2 linked regions of the Arabidopsis thaliana genome follow. The protein of the gene in region 2 purifies or fractionates together with the protein of the main gene of each other region. This does not show direct contact. Each region holds a gene or a part of one and is shown on either strand. Other genes may lie near its edges.

What was found. The genes of interacting proteins can lie anywhere in the genome.
Region 1: the proteins of CSY3 (region 2) and EMB3127 fractionate together in Arabidopsis thaliana (co-fractionation; one large-scale study listed by BioGRID). This does not show direct contact.

What each region holds. Positions count from the first base shown.
Region 1 is NC_003075.7:258,026-263,213, reverse strand, and holds EMB3127 (Amino acid dehydrogenase family protein), read left to right. Parts: upstream 1-1,924; 5' UTR 1,925-2,425; coding exon 2,426-2,606; intron 2,607-2,758; coding exon 2,759-3,084; intron 3,085-3,161; coding exon 3,162-3,398; intron 3,399-3,500; coding exon 3,501-3,668; intron 3,669-3,778; coding exon 3,779-3,949; 3' UTR 3,950-4,227; downstream 4,228-5,188. Other genes in the region: KEA2 (K+ efflux antiporter 2), read left to right, coding at 73-222, 385-438, 574-632, 723-789, 876-1,052, 1,146-1,202, 1,286-1,360, 1,434-1,559. UniProt on the Arabidopsis thaliana protein: Catalyzes the oxidation of 5,10-methylenetetrahydrofolate to 5,10-methenyltetrahydrofolate and then the hydrolysis of 5,10-methenyltetrahydrofolate to 10-formyltetrahydrofolate.
Region 2 is NC_003071.7:17,801,857-17,808,053, forward strand, and holds CSY3 (citrate synthase 3), read right to left. Parts: upstream 4,218-6,197; 5' UTR 4,136-4,217; coding exon 3,905-4,135; intron 3,816-3,904; coding exon 3,635-3,815; intron 3,533-3,634; coding exon 3,447-3,532; intron 3,240-3,446; coding exon 3,135-3,239; intron 3,019-3,134; coding exon 2,956-3,018; intron 2,836-2,955; coding exon 2,726-2,835; exon of another isoform or gene 2,575-2,725; coding exon 2,455-2,574; intron 2,384-2,454; coding exon 2,308-2,383; intron 2,214-2,307; coding exon 2,140-2,213; intron 2,051-2,139; coding exon 1,930-2,050; intron 1,815-1,929; coding exon 1,717-1,814; intron 1,636-1,716; coding exon 1,512-1,635; intron 1,417-1,511; coding exon 1,276-1,416; 3' UTR 985-1,275; downstream 1-984. Other genes in the region: AT2G42780 (transcription elongation factor B polypeptide), read left to right, coding at 94-172, 269-325, 416-535, 625-790. UniProt on the Arabidopsis thaliana protein: Peroxisomal citrate synthase required for the fatty acid respiration in seedlings, citrate being exported from peroxisomes into mitochondria during respiration of triacylglycerol (TAG).

The DNA of each region.
Region 1 (5,188 bases), on a different chromosome or scaffold from region 2:
ATATGACAGCTGAGGTTTCAGTTCTACTTTATTCCCATGTTTCCTCTAAGGCTTGATTGGTATTTCTTCCAGGGTATAATGACTCCGCAGCTATCTTCATTACTGTTTCTCGTCGTGGGAATATCAATGGCTCTTACTCCTTGGTTAGCTGCTGGCGGCCAATTAATTGCGTCTCGATTTGAGTTACAAGATGTTCGAAGTTTATTACCAGTTGAAAGCGAGGTACTCCTTCACAACACTTTAAAATAAGTCATTTATCACCATTCCTAGTTTCAATTGTAAATTTAAAACAATAAAGCCATGATTGACCTCAATATCCTTCCGAAGCTCATGCATTCTTGGGGTAAAAATGACTGATCCTTTACTTTCTGAATTTACTTGCAGACGGATGATTTACAGGGTCACATCATTATTTGCGGATTTGGACGAATTGGGCAGGTTGGTATCGTTATCTATAAACTTTGTTGCGAAAACAAACTCCTCTAGAAGTTTAGATAGTTTGATTTAGAGAATAGTTTGGTGATATATGATTAAATTCGTCTTTGACCGCTGCTTTCTAAATGTTAAACGCAGATAATCGCTCAGCTTCTTTCTGAAAGACTTATCCCATTTGTTGCCCTCGATGTCAGCAGGTAATGTAACATGCTTGCCTTGTCTTGCTCAATGTATCTAACCAGCTCTTTATTTGTCTCATTTCGCACCAAAAATCTCTTATTTTACAGTGATAGAGTAGCAATTGGTCGTTCCCTAGATCTTCCAGTTTATTTTGGAGACGCTGGTAGTAGAGAGGTAAGAGTAGAAAGCTGATGAAACAAGTCAAAAGTATAACCACACATCATCCAAAATTATTGACGTTGTTTTACCTATACGTGCAGGTACTCCACAAAATCGGGGCAGATAGAGCATGTGCTGCGGCTATTGCTTTAGACACACCTGGAGCAAATTACAGGTGTGTCTGGGCTCTTAGCAAATATTTCCCCAATGTCAAAACCTTTGTCCGTGCACATGACGTTGATCATGGTCTCAATCTTGAAAAAGCCGGCGCTACCGCTGTAATAACTTCCACAACTTTTCTATTCTCCTTCTGTCATTGCACAACATTTTCAAAGTAAACTGATTAAAATCTCGATACAAAAACTCGTTAGGTTGTTCCTGAGACGCTGGAACCAAGTCTTCAGTTAGCAGCTGCTGTTCTTGCACAGGTACAAGAGATAATTCTTGTAGTCATTAAGTCACCAACAATGTTATTTGGGGTATTTGTTAAACTTGTCGGCTTCTTTTTCAGGCCAAATTACCTACATCAGAAATAGCAACAACGATCAACGAGTTCAGATCTCGTCACTTGTCTGAACTAGCTGAGGTATATATTTGGTCTATTTAAAAAACTACAATTCTTCTTACTCTCCGGTTTAATGGATCCTATGATGGTACAGCTATGTGAGGCAAGTGGAAGCTCTCTAGGTTACGGGTTCTCAAGAAGTACGAGCAAACCAAAACCACCATCACCATCTGAAACATCTGACGATAACCAGATTATTGAAGGCACACTCGCTATCTAACCTTTTTTCTCGCTTCTGGTAAGACCACACAATTTCAACTTCTTTTGCTTAAAACTGTACAGAAACCAAAATCCTTATTTTGAAGAATCTTAGCGGAGAAAAAGTAACAAACTCTCAAAATTTTGATGGGATGATGATGTGTTGAAATTTCTCTAGTTTCTTTCCTCTGGGGGAAAAACAAAGGCAAATAATATTTGTATTCAACATATTGGGTCTAATATGTGAATCTATCCCTCATTTATCCGACACTATTTGTCTGTACTTTCTACCTTTGCTTCACCCTTCAACAATCTTGGCAATCGCAATAACATGACTTGCTCTGATACCACTTGTAGTACATTTAGCTTTGATTGTTGGAGCTCTCGAGTTAAATCACAAGGGTATATATATCTAGTGTGGTACTTTAGACCGCAAATAGAGAATAGACCGTAAGTCAACGAACTTACATGTATTGTTTATATATTGATCAGTGTTAATTACATGATTAATCTGAGTTTAAGACGACTAATCAAATTAAAAAGCTACTAAAAATATGAAGCGGTCCGATTGGATTTATTAAAAAAGAAAAGAAAACGAAAGACTGGTATAATAAAACCGGAAAATTCAGGTGAAATCAACAAACCGGTTTCTTTTGTGATTTGAATGAACTTAAACCCTTGTTGATATCAAAAGAAGAAACCCTAGTCTCTCCGACTCTCCGTAGACGACGAAGTTATCTTCTTCAATTCATCGTCTCTTCTCTGCTCTGCTTTGCTCTAGATCACAAATTAAAAGACTTCATTAGTCTTCCTGTCTCCACCATTACCTTCTTCCTTTTTAACTCAGCCACGACGAGCAGACTATTGTTCTGTTTTCCTTGTATAAAAATGGCGTCGATGATGTTTACCGATTGCTCCTCCACCACGACGTCGCGTCTCATCCATTTGAACCGAAGCAGCGGTACTTTCCTCCTCCGTCAATGCGTCGGCCAACTCCGTTTACAGACCACTGCTTCTGGCCGTGGCTGCTGCATTCGCTCCTCTTCTTCTCCCATTTCTTCCATTTCCGGTAATGATTAAACCTTTTGACTTAATTGAGCACCAAATTTGAACTTGACATCGATTGAAATTTGTAGACAATTAGACTGTTCTTCCCTGGAAAATTGAGTTTCTTTATTCTCATGTTGGAATCATAAATTTTTTTTTTTTTTTTTGGTACAGCTGATACAAAATCAGAGGGTGGCGCAATTGTAATAGATGGAAAGGCTGTGGCAAAAAAGATTAGAGATGAAATCACAATTGAAGTTTCAAGAATGAAGGAATCAATTGGTGTGATTCCTGGTTTAGCAGTAATCCTTGTTGGTGACAGAAAAGATTCTGCAACTTATGTGAGGAACAAGAAGAAAGCTTGTGACTCCGTTGGAATCAAATCGTTCGAAGTTCGTCTAGCTGAAGATTCATCAGAAGAAGAGGTGTTGAAATCTGTATCAGGATTCAATGATGATCCTTCTGTCCATGGAATCCTTGTTCAGTTGCCTCTGCCATCGGTAAACAAAGTCTAATAACTTTCTTCGGAACTTAAATAAACAGTGAATTACAATAGTGTTTTGGGATGTTGTTGCAGCATATGGATGAACAGAACATACTGAATGCGGTTAGTATAGAGAAAGATGTTGACGGATTTCATCCGCTAAATATTGGACGGCTTGCCATGCGTGGAAGAGAACCCTTATTCGTTCCTTGTACTCCAAAAGGATGCATTGAGTTGTTGCATAGATACAACATTGAAATCAAAGGAAAGAGAGCGGTTGTTATCGGAAGGAGTAACATTGTCGGTATGCCAGCTGCTCTTTTACTGCAGGTAATGATGATGATACCTTCTTTAAGATGCCGTTTTTTCTGGTTGTGACATTCGAAAGTTAGTTACATGTTTGGTCTTTATTGTTGTGTTTTGTATTTGTAGAGGGAGGATGCAACCGTTAGCATTATCCATTCAAGAACCAAGAACCCTGAAGAAATCACAAGAGAAGCTGATATTATAATCTCAGCTGTTGGACAGCCAAACATGGTCAGAGGAAGCTGGATAAAACCGGGCGCAGTCCTCATCGATGTTGGGATTAATCCTGTTGAGGTGAGTGGAATTTTCTTTTTGACATATGGTCATGGCGTAATTCAGTGATATAATAAGTTTCAAATCAACCAGTATGCAACATTCATACATGTACATAATATGAATTGCAGGATCCAAGTGCTGCGCGTGGATATCGATTGGTTGGAGACATTTGCTACGAGGAGGCTAGCAAAGTTGCATCAGCCATCACACCTGTTCCTGGCGGTGTAGGACCAATGACCATAGCCATGCTTCTATCCAACACTTTAACATCAGCTAAGAGGATTCACAACTTCCAGTGACGTCACTTAAAAAGAAGATTGCTGGCCTTTTGGGAAACAAACAAATCGTACTCTGTTTTTTGAAGCCAATGATTTACTTTGGTCTTTAAAGAAAGTTATCGTTTTGTTCTATGAAACAAAACATGTAGTTTTTAAGTCACATAAATTGTCTTCAACATTGTTTGTCTCTTCTTGGTATTTTGAGTCAGAACTAGTTTTAACTTATCCCAGCTATGATATATCCCAGCCTCACCCATCGGTCTCTTCGTCATTATACTTTATTTATAACTACCTTTCAACGAAGGTTAATTTGAAACAAGAAAACACAGTCACTTGTTCTACATTACTTTTGTTAAACCCTAACTTGAGCTCGAAGCCACGACCACTGTTCTGTTTTCCTAGTAAAATAATGGCGTCGTTGATGTTAACCGATTGCTCCTTCTCCACGACCTCGCGTCTCATCGATTTGAACCGCCTCAACGGTGCTTTCCTGCCCCGCTGGTGCGTCAGCCAACTCAAGCTTTCCCACCACTGCGCCCGGACGTGGCCGCATGCGCTCCTCTTATACCACTGTGCCCGGACGTGGCCACATTCTCTCCATTCGCTCCTCTTGTATAGACTAAACCTTTTCATCCAATTGCTTACGTATTTTCAGATATCCAACTCTTAAGATTTTACTTTTCTGTTCAGCTGATGAGGCGATGGTATTTGATCAAACGGCTGTGGAACTAAGTATCATGCAGGAGATCAGAGTCGAAACTTCAAGAATGGAGAAACTAATCAGTCCTGGTTTAGCAGTAATCCTTTTTGGGGACAGAGAGTTCTCTGAAGAATATAAAGAAATTTAAACTCTAGCATCTTTGCTCCAAAAACAAACTCTATAGAGTTTAAATTTCTTTCTTCTTTTTTACAAAAGAGGGATTATAGTATTATACACCATAAACCCCGTAAAATTAAAAGAAGGTATTCAGTTACCAAAATCGGATTTAGTAGCATTTAGTTTTTTTGAATTTTAAATGTACACCATAAACCCCGTAAAATTAGTCAAAACAATTAATGTGATTTATGATAATTGTAATTAAATAAAAAAGATATTACTCGATTAGTAATTACTGATTAACTGAATCATTGATCTCATTAAACAATTAAAGAAAGATTACTCGATTAGTTAGCATTTAGTTTTAATTTTTTTAATATACTAAAAATACCAATCGGAAATTCAGTTACCAAAATTAGATTTATTAACATTTACTTTTTGAA
Region 2 (6,197 bases):
CAAAAAACAGTATGCAAATGCTCCATGCATATATTAGTTTTTTTTCCCTCTGGCTTTTGTAATCTAATGGTTATATGGACGATTTTGTTGCAGGTAATAGTGCATCAGGTTACAATCTTGGGCATGTGAAGAGCAACATCATGAAGAAGGCAAAAATAGATCTGTTGAAGAGGTACACTTCAAAGTTGCACAATCACCAGTCTTACTTATAAGGTTTATAGCAACAATCTATTTCTTAATTCAAATCTTCTGATGGTTTTGATTACAGTCAAGAAGTGAAAAATCTTACTGCGATTAAAAGGAACACCATTCAGAAGAGTTTCAGGTATCATCTCCCCAGCATCTATTTAGCTATATCAACCCACATTCGTTATCCCCCAAACCTGATCGGTTTGATTGATCATGTCTTGTCTAGTATTTCTACTCCAAAGAAAACTGGCTTATCTGCGAATTCGCCTTCAACTTCAAGAAGCATTCCTTATGGTGGACGAAATCTTACTGAAACTAAAAAGAACACGATTCAGAAGAGTTTCAGGTAACATGTCCTCAGTATCTATATATCTATATGGATCCACTTCTTTATCCCCCAAACTTGATCGGTTTGACGGATCATGTCTTGTATAGTATATCTGCTCCAAAGAGGACTGGCTTATCCGCTAATGCGCCTTCAACTTCAAGAAGCGTTCCTTCTGGTGGACAAAAGCTACCTCCAAGGAGGATCAACGGCCTTCCTGGGACTGCTCCTTCAACTTCAAAAAATGCAGCCACCAGACAAAAACATGTAATGTAACTTATATAGCTTTTTTACAGATCATTTTTTCTTCGAGTGTATCATTTACATGGCTACTTCAAGTTTCAAGAACTCCGAGTTTTGAAACTCTGGCTTGATGATATCCTAGTTTGTAACAATAGATCTTCAAAAGTTTTTACAATGATTTAATAAAGTGCTTTGTTTTCTACTTGTTGCTTTGGCCGAGATATTTCACAACAAACGTCTCTGCAGAAGCATTCGATATAGAAATTAGAGTAATAATCCATAACCATAAATCATTTTATACAATAAACACGTTCTGATAAGAAGACAAACAAGGCGGACAAACACCCTTAGAAGATGGATTGAAGCAAATATAGATCAAGTCTATATTGTGCCTACAAAATGAGAAATCTAAGTTTCGAGTATGATCAAGTATCTTAGCTTTAGGCTAGAGAAACCAATCTCTTTTATTCTTTGCGGTGTGGTTTGATGTATAGTATGGACCCTAAAAGGGCCTACGTCTAAACTGAAGATCCAGCCAAACGTCTTCTTGATGCATTTGAAGTCGCGACTTGACCCAATTTGTCTGACTCTTTCGAGTCATCCGTCACTATTCTCTCTCTCACTGGTGTGTAATGCCTCAGCCACACGCCTGTGTACACCTGCAACATTTAATATTCCAATGAACCATCCAAGTTTCAAATTGATCCAAAGAAAAATCTTTCTCTTATTATTCTTGGAAAGAGATTAACTATACCTGTTGTGGTCTCATGATCTTGGTGTCAGGATCATCCAGTGACTCTTTCCAATGTGACAAGTATCCAGCCATGCGAGGAATCGCGAATAAGACCGTGAAGAACTCCGGTGGAAATCCCATTGCCCTGTTGTAATGGTCCAAGTTTGCAGATTTAGATGAAGTTGAGAGGAAGTTATGGATACTGCACATGCATTCAAACTTTTACCTGTATATTAATCCAGAGTAGAAGTCAACATTTGGATACAGCTTTCTCTTAACAAAGTAATCGTCAGAGAGAGCTGCCTTCTCAAGTGCAACAGCAACCTGCAGACATCAGAATCAAACACATTGGCTTTAAGGAAACATGAAAAATTACACTAAATCGAAAAGGTGGGCATCAAGTTGTAGTATAAGCTTGAACTTCGTGGACATAGCGTACCTCAATTAGAGGATCCTTTCCAACAATGGAAAATACTTCATCAGCCAGGTTCTTGATGACTTTAGCTCGAGGGTCATAGTTTTTGTACACACGGTGTCCAAAACCAGACATCTTCCTCTTCCTAAGATGTCAAAGGGATGAGAATTTTAATGAAAAGACTTGTCACAAACCTCGGAAACGGAAGCATATAGTTTCAAGAATTGATTTTACCTGTTCTTCACACCCTCAATGAACTCTGGAATATTTTCAACAGTCCCAATCTCTGACAACATCTTAAGCACAGCCTAATGGAACCAAAGACATGAATTTCAAAGACCATGGAGCATGAAAATACATCAGAAGATGTAACATATGAAGACATGAGAATAAATAGCATACCTCGTTTGCACCACCATGAAGTGGACCATAAAGCGCTCCCACAGCTCCAGCAACAGCAGTGTAGACATCAACACCGCTACAAGAAGACATTTCCTAATCAATATATCTCCTATCAAGGTCACTAAGATTCCAACCAAAGATAAGTACCTAGAGGCAAGATGCCGAGCAGCAGCGGTGGAGCAGTTCATTTCATGCTCTGCATGCAGTATGAAGAGGATGTCCAACACCCGAGCCAGCCGAGGATTAGGTTTGTAGGATCTATTTCCCCTGTAAGAAGTGTGTTAATGGCACGCTACAAGTTATGTACACAGTAAAAAAATAACTAGGCTTCAAGTTCTCTGAAGCGTCAAGATCTAAAACTAAATCTAAAAGTTGAGTTTCTAACTAATTCAAGAAGAAAGAGATAGCAGAGACATACAGGGAATCAAGCATATAGAGGAAATTATCTGCATAAGGAAGGTTTCCTGAAGGAAGAACAGGAGGCCTTCCTGCCATCCTCAGATAAGCAGCTGCTGCAATTGTTGGTGCCTGCACAAATCGCAAACACGTTTAGTTGCATCAGATCTTCATGAAATTCAGAGTCCAAATATGTTTATGCGTGACACAATATAGGAAGAAGTAAGGTAACCACTGATAACAAAAAAATACCTTTCCAATAATGCGGATAATTTGTTTATCTCTAACTTGTTTTGAATCGTAAATATCCTGGCCCTGCACCCAATAGAGTATCAGTCAACATGTTTATACGGACAATTTCAAAAGAGCTAAAACTAGCGAGTGACAAGGCCTGACATGTTGTTAGAGAAGTAATATAAGGTTAAACCTACCCTAAGAGCAGGATTAGCATCAGGATGAAAGATGGAAAGCGCACTCATTGCACTCACAAGAACTCCCATTGGGTGTGCATCATGAGGCATAGACTGTATAATATCCTGCACAAAAGTTATCAAGTAAGTGGAGTTAGATATGAGAAATATATAGCTTTGAGTACAGCACACAATCCTCAGAACAACATGTATAGAACAGTCTTGACAAATTATTGTTCGACCAGACAAGAAAATAGGCTACTAGTAAAGAACAGGCTAACTCCATTTTACAAATCGAAATTGAAATCCATCAACCAAGGATTAGAGACTCACTAATACACCTTGTGGCACAGCTGAATGCTGAGAAACTGCAAACTCCCAATCAGATAGCTGACTTTCAGAGGGCAGATTCCCATACACTGCCAGAAAATATAGTAAAGGAGAAAACTTTTCATCAATGTCCAATTCGATACACATAACACTTGAAATTGTGTAGTAAGGTTAAAAGGTAAAACACTTACTGAGAAGATAAGCCACCTCCAGAAAAGTACTGTTCTCAGCCATTTCCTCAATTGGGTAGCCACGGTAACGAAGGATCCCTTCATCTCCATCGATGTAAGAAATCGAAGATCGAACAGGAGCCGTGTTCAAGTAACCTGGATCGTATAACTTAAGCCCCTTGTCTTCCTTCCCCGTCACTATCTGCAAGCCAAACAACACGCAACAAAGCAAATTCTCAGCTCAAAATCCCACAGTGATAGGAAAATGGTCATTTAGAAAAAGGGTTAAACCTTTTTGAAATCAACGGCTTTAACGGTACCATCATCTGAGACCGGAACTTTATAATTTTTTCCGGTGCGTTCGTCGACGATCGTCAGTGTTCCCTTCAAAGATCCAAGCGGTGCGACACTCGTATCCGCCGACGTGCACCATCGCTCGATCGCTGGAGAATCCTGTTTTCCTTCCGATAAATGACCTGAGAGAACAGCTAATCGAGCTCGAACTCTCTCTGATATCTCCATTCAACCAAAATCAAAATTCAAAGAAGGAGAGAAGAAGAAGAAAGGGAGCGAAGAAATTATTAGAAACCATTCTTACTCTTCGTTAATATAACACGTGTCTTATCCCCTGCGGTCAGGAGTATTGAACAGTATCCACGTGTATGCGATCTAACGGATATCTTGATATCCAACGGCGTAAGCCTTATTGACCCAACTTGGACTAACGGTGATGATCTTCTCCATCTCTAAGCTGTCAGAATTATGTGGGACCCACTTATCAGTATTATCTAGTTAGTCAATTGCTTTCCTCGATTTGCTAAATATCAATTCGATTGCTACGCAATGCTGAATGGGCCGAATTGTCTTAATATGGGCTTCTGTATATTCATCTTTAGGCCCAACAGTATACCACTTTTTATTTGGGCCTTTTTTGTTGATACGGCTCGCTTTACCATCGGAACCAACCCAACATTCATTTTTCGAACTATGACTGAAATCTTATTAAAAAAATGAATGTAAAGCTAAATATGGATGTTGCGTTCAAAATAAAACTCATGAGTTTATGGATGTTCTTCATAAATTATAGTTATCATTAATCAAAAGATGGAAAATACAAACGGTTATTTACTCTTTAATGTTAGTGTACGAGGCTATTAATCTTATAAGTTGTATTTATGTATTATATTATGGAGAATGAATAGGTCTAATTACGTTTTAAAAAAAAAGCATGGAGGAAATGAGAGTGAAAGGTATAATAAATGACATGTTAAAAGCGACGGGTCGTATATTTTGATTCGTACCTAAAAATAGAATTCTAAGTTTACCCCACGTGAGGCTCTGAATCTGAGAGTGATAGATTTTTCTTTCCCTCCTTCCGTTTTCAACACATGATGACATGAACAAGGAACTGTTCCTTTTTTTTTTCTTTAAACATTATCTGCAACGGTGATCACTCACTCAATGATATCTTTCATTTATAACTTCACACGTCTATAAATTAAATTTGTTCATAGGATCTACAATAACACAATTAACATCACTTGTGTTTTTAAGTTATTCAAGCAGAGGCATAGTAATTGATAAAAATAGACAACAAGAAAGCATTTGAAACAAAATTACTGTTGTAAACAAAGCTTTTTCACGGTAATGGAATTCCGAAATAAAAATATATAAAAAAGAAAGTGACAGAGGAAATGTGTGAGAGAGGCAAAGGAAATGCAATATTTGCAGGAAGAAAAAAAGCATGAGAAAAAAGTAGGTGTGGATTTAGACACATGACTGACAAATTATATTTTTCTAGTTTCTCCTCTATATGGTGGTTTCTGCGTTTATCATGTTTAAATATATTTAAACCTTTCATTAGTCACATCACATCCCAAAAATGTGTACGATAATAAAAAGATTGTTTATATACCAAAATTAATTGGTTTACTCAATCATCTTTTTAATTTTGGTCATTTGATACGATCAATCATAGGGTGTCCTAACGTTAAGTTCGATGACGCTGCTACCTCTTTTGAGCGTACCATTCAGGGTCCTACTCGGCTACTCCTACATAATGAATTTAGCAAATAGCAGTTTAAAAACAAATTACGTTAGTTGATTAAGATAAATAAATTAGCTTAACACAAATTTGAAATGGTTAGTTGAAACTCAATTAACATTAATTTTTCTAGGTCTTCAATTTAGTTGCATGGTTAGACTTGAATCAGGTTGTGTCGTTTTATCAGACTCACTGCAAACTCTTTGTCCAAACTGCTCCCTTATTTTTGTTTATTACACTCTATGTATGTAAATTTTATAACAGATTTACTAGAAATTTAATTCTTACCCAATAGAAAACAAAAACGTCGTTTCATTTCATTTGTTATTTTCTCTTTTGTATACAAACACATATTTATACACACGGCTATGAAGTTGTTCAGGACCATTATGGATGACTCGAAATAATTTTATTAACAATCATATAAAAATCTGAAAATACTAGTATTATTATTAAACTAAAAAAAAAACACAACATTAACGTACATTGCTTTAATAGGAAACTAATACACATCAAAATCGACTCTATTAATTTATTTCC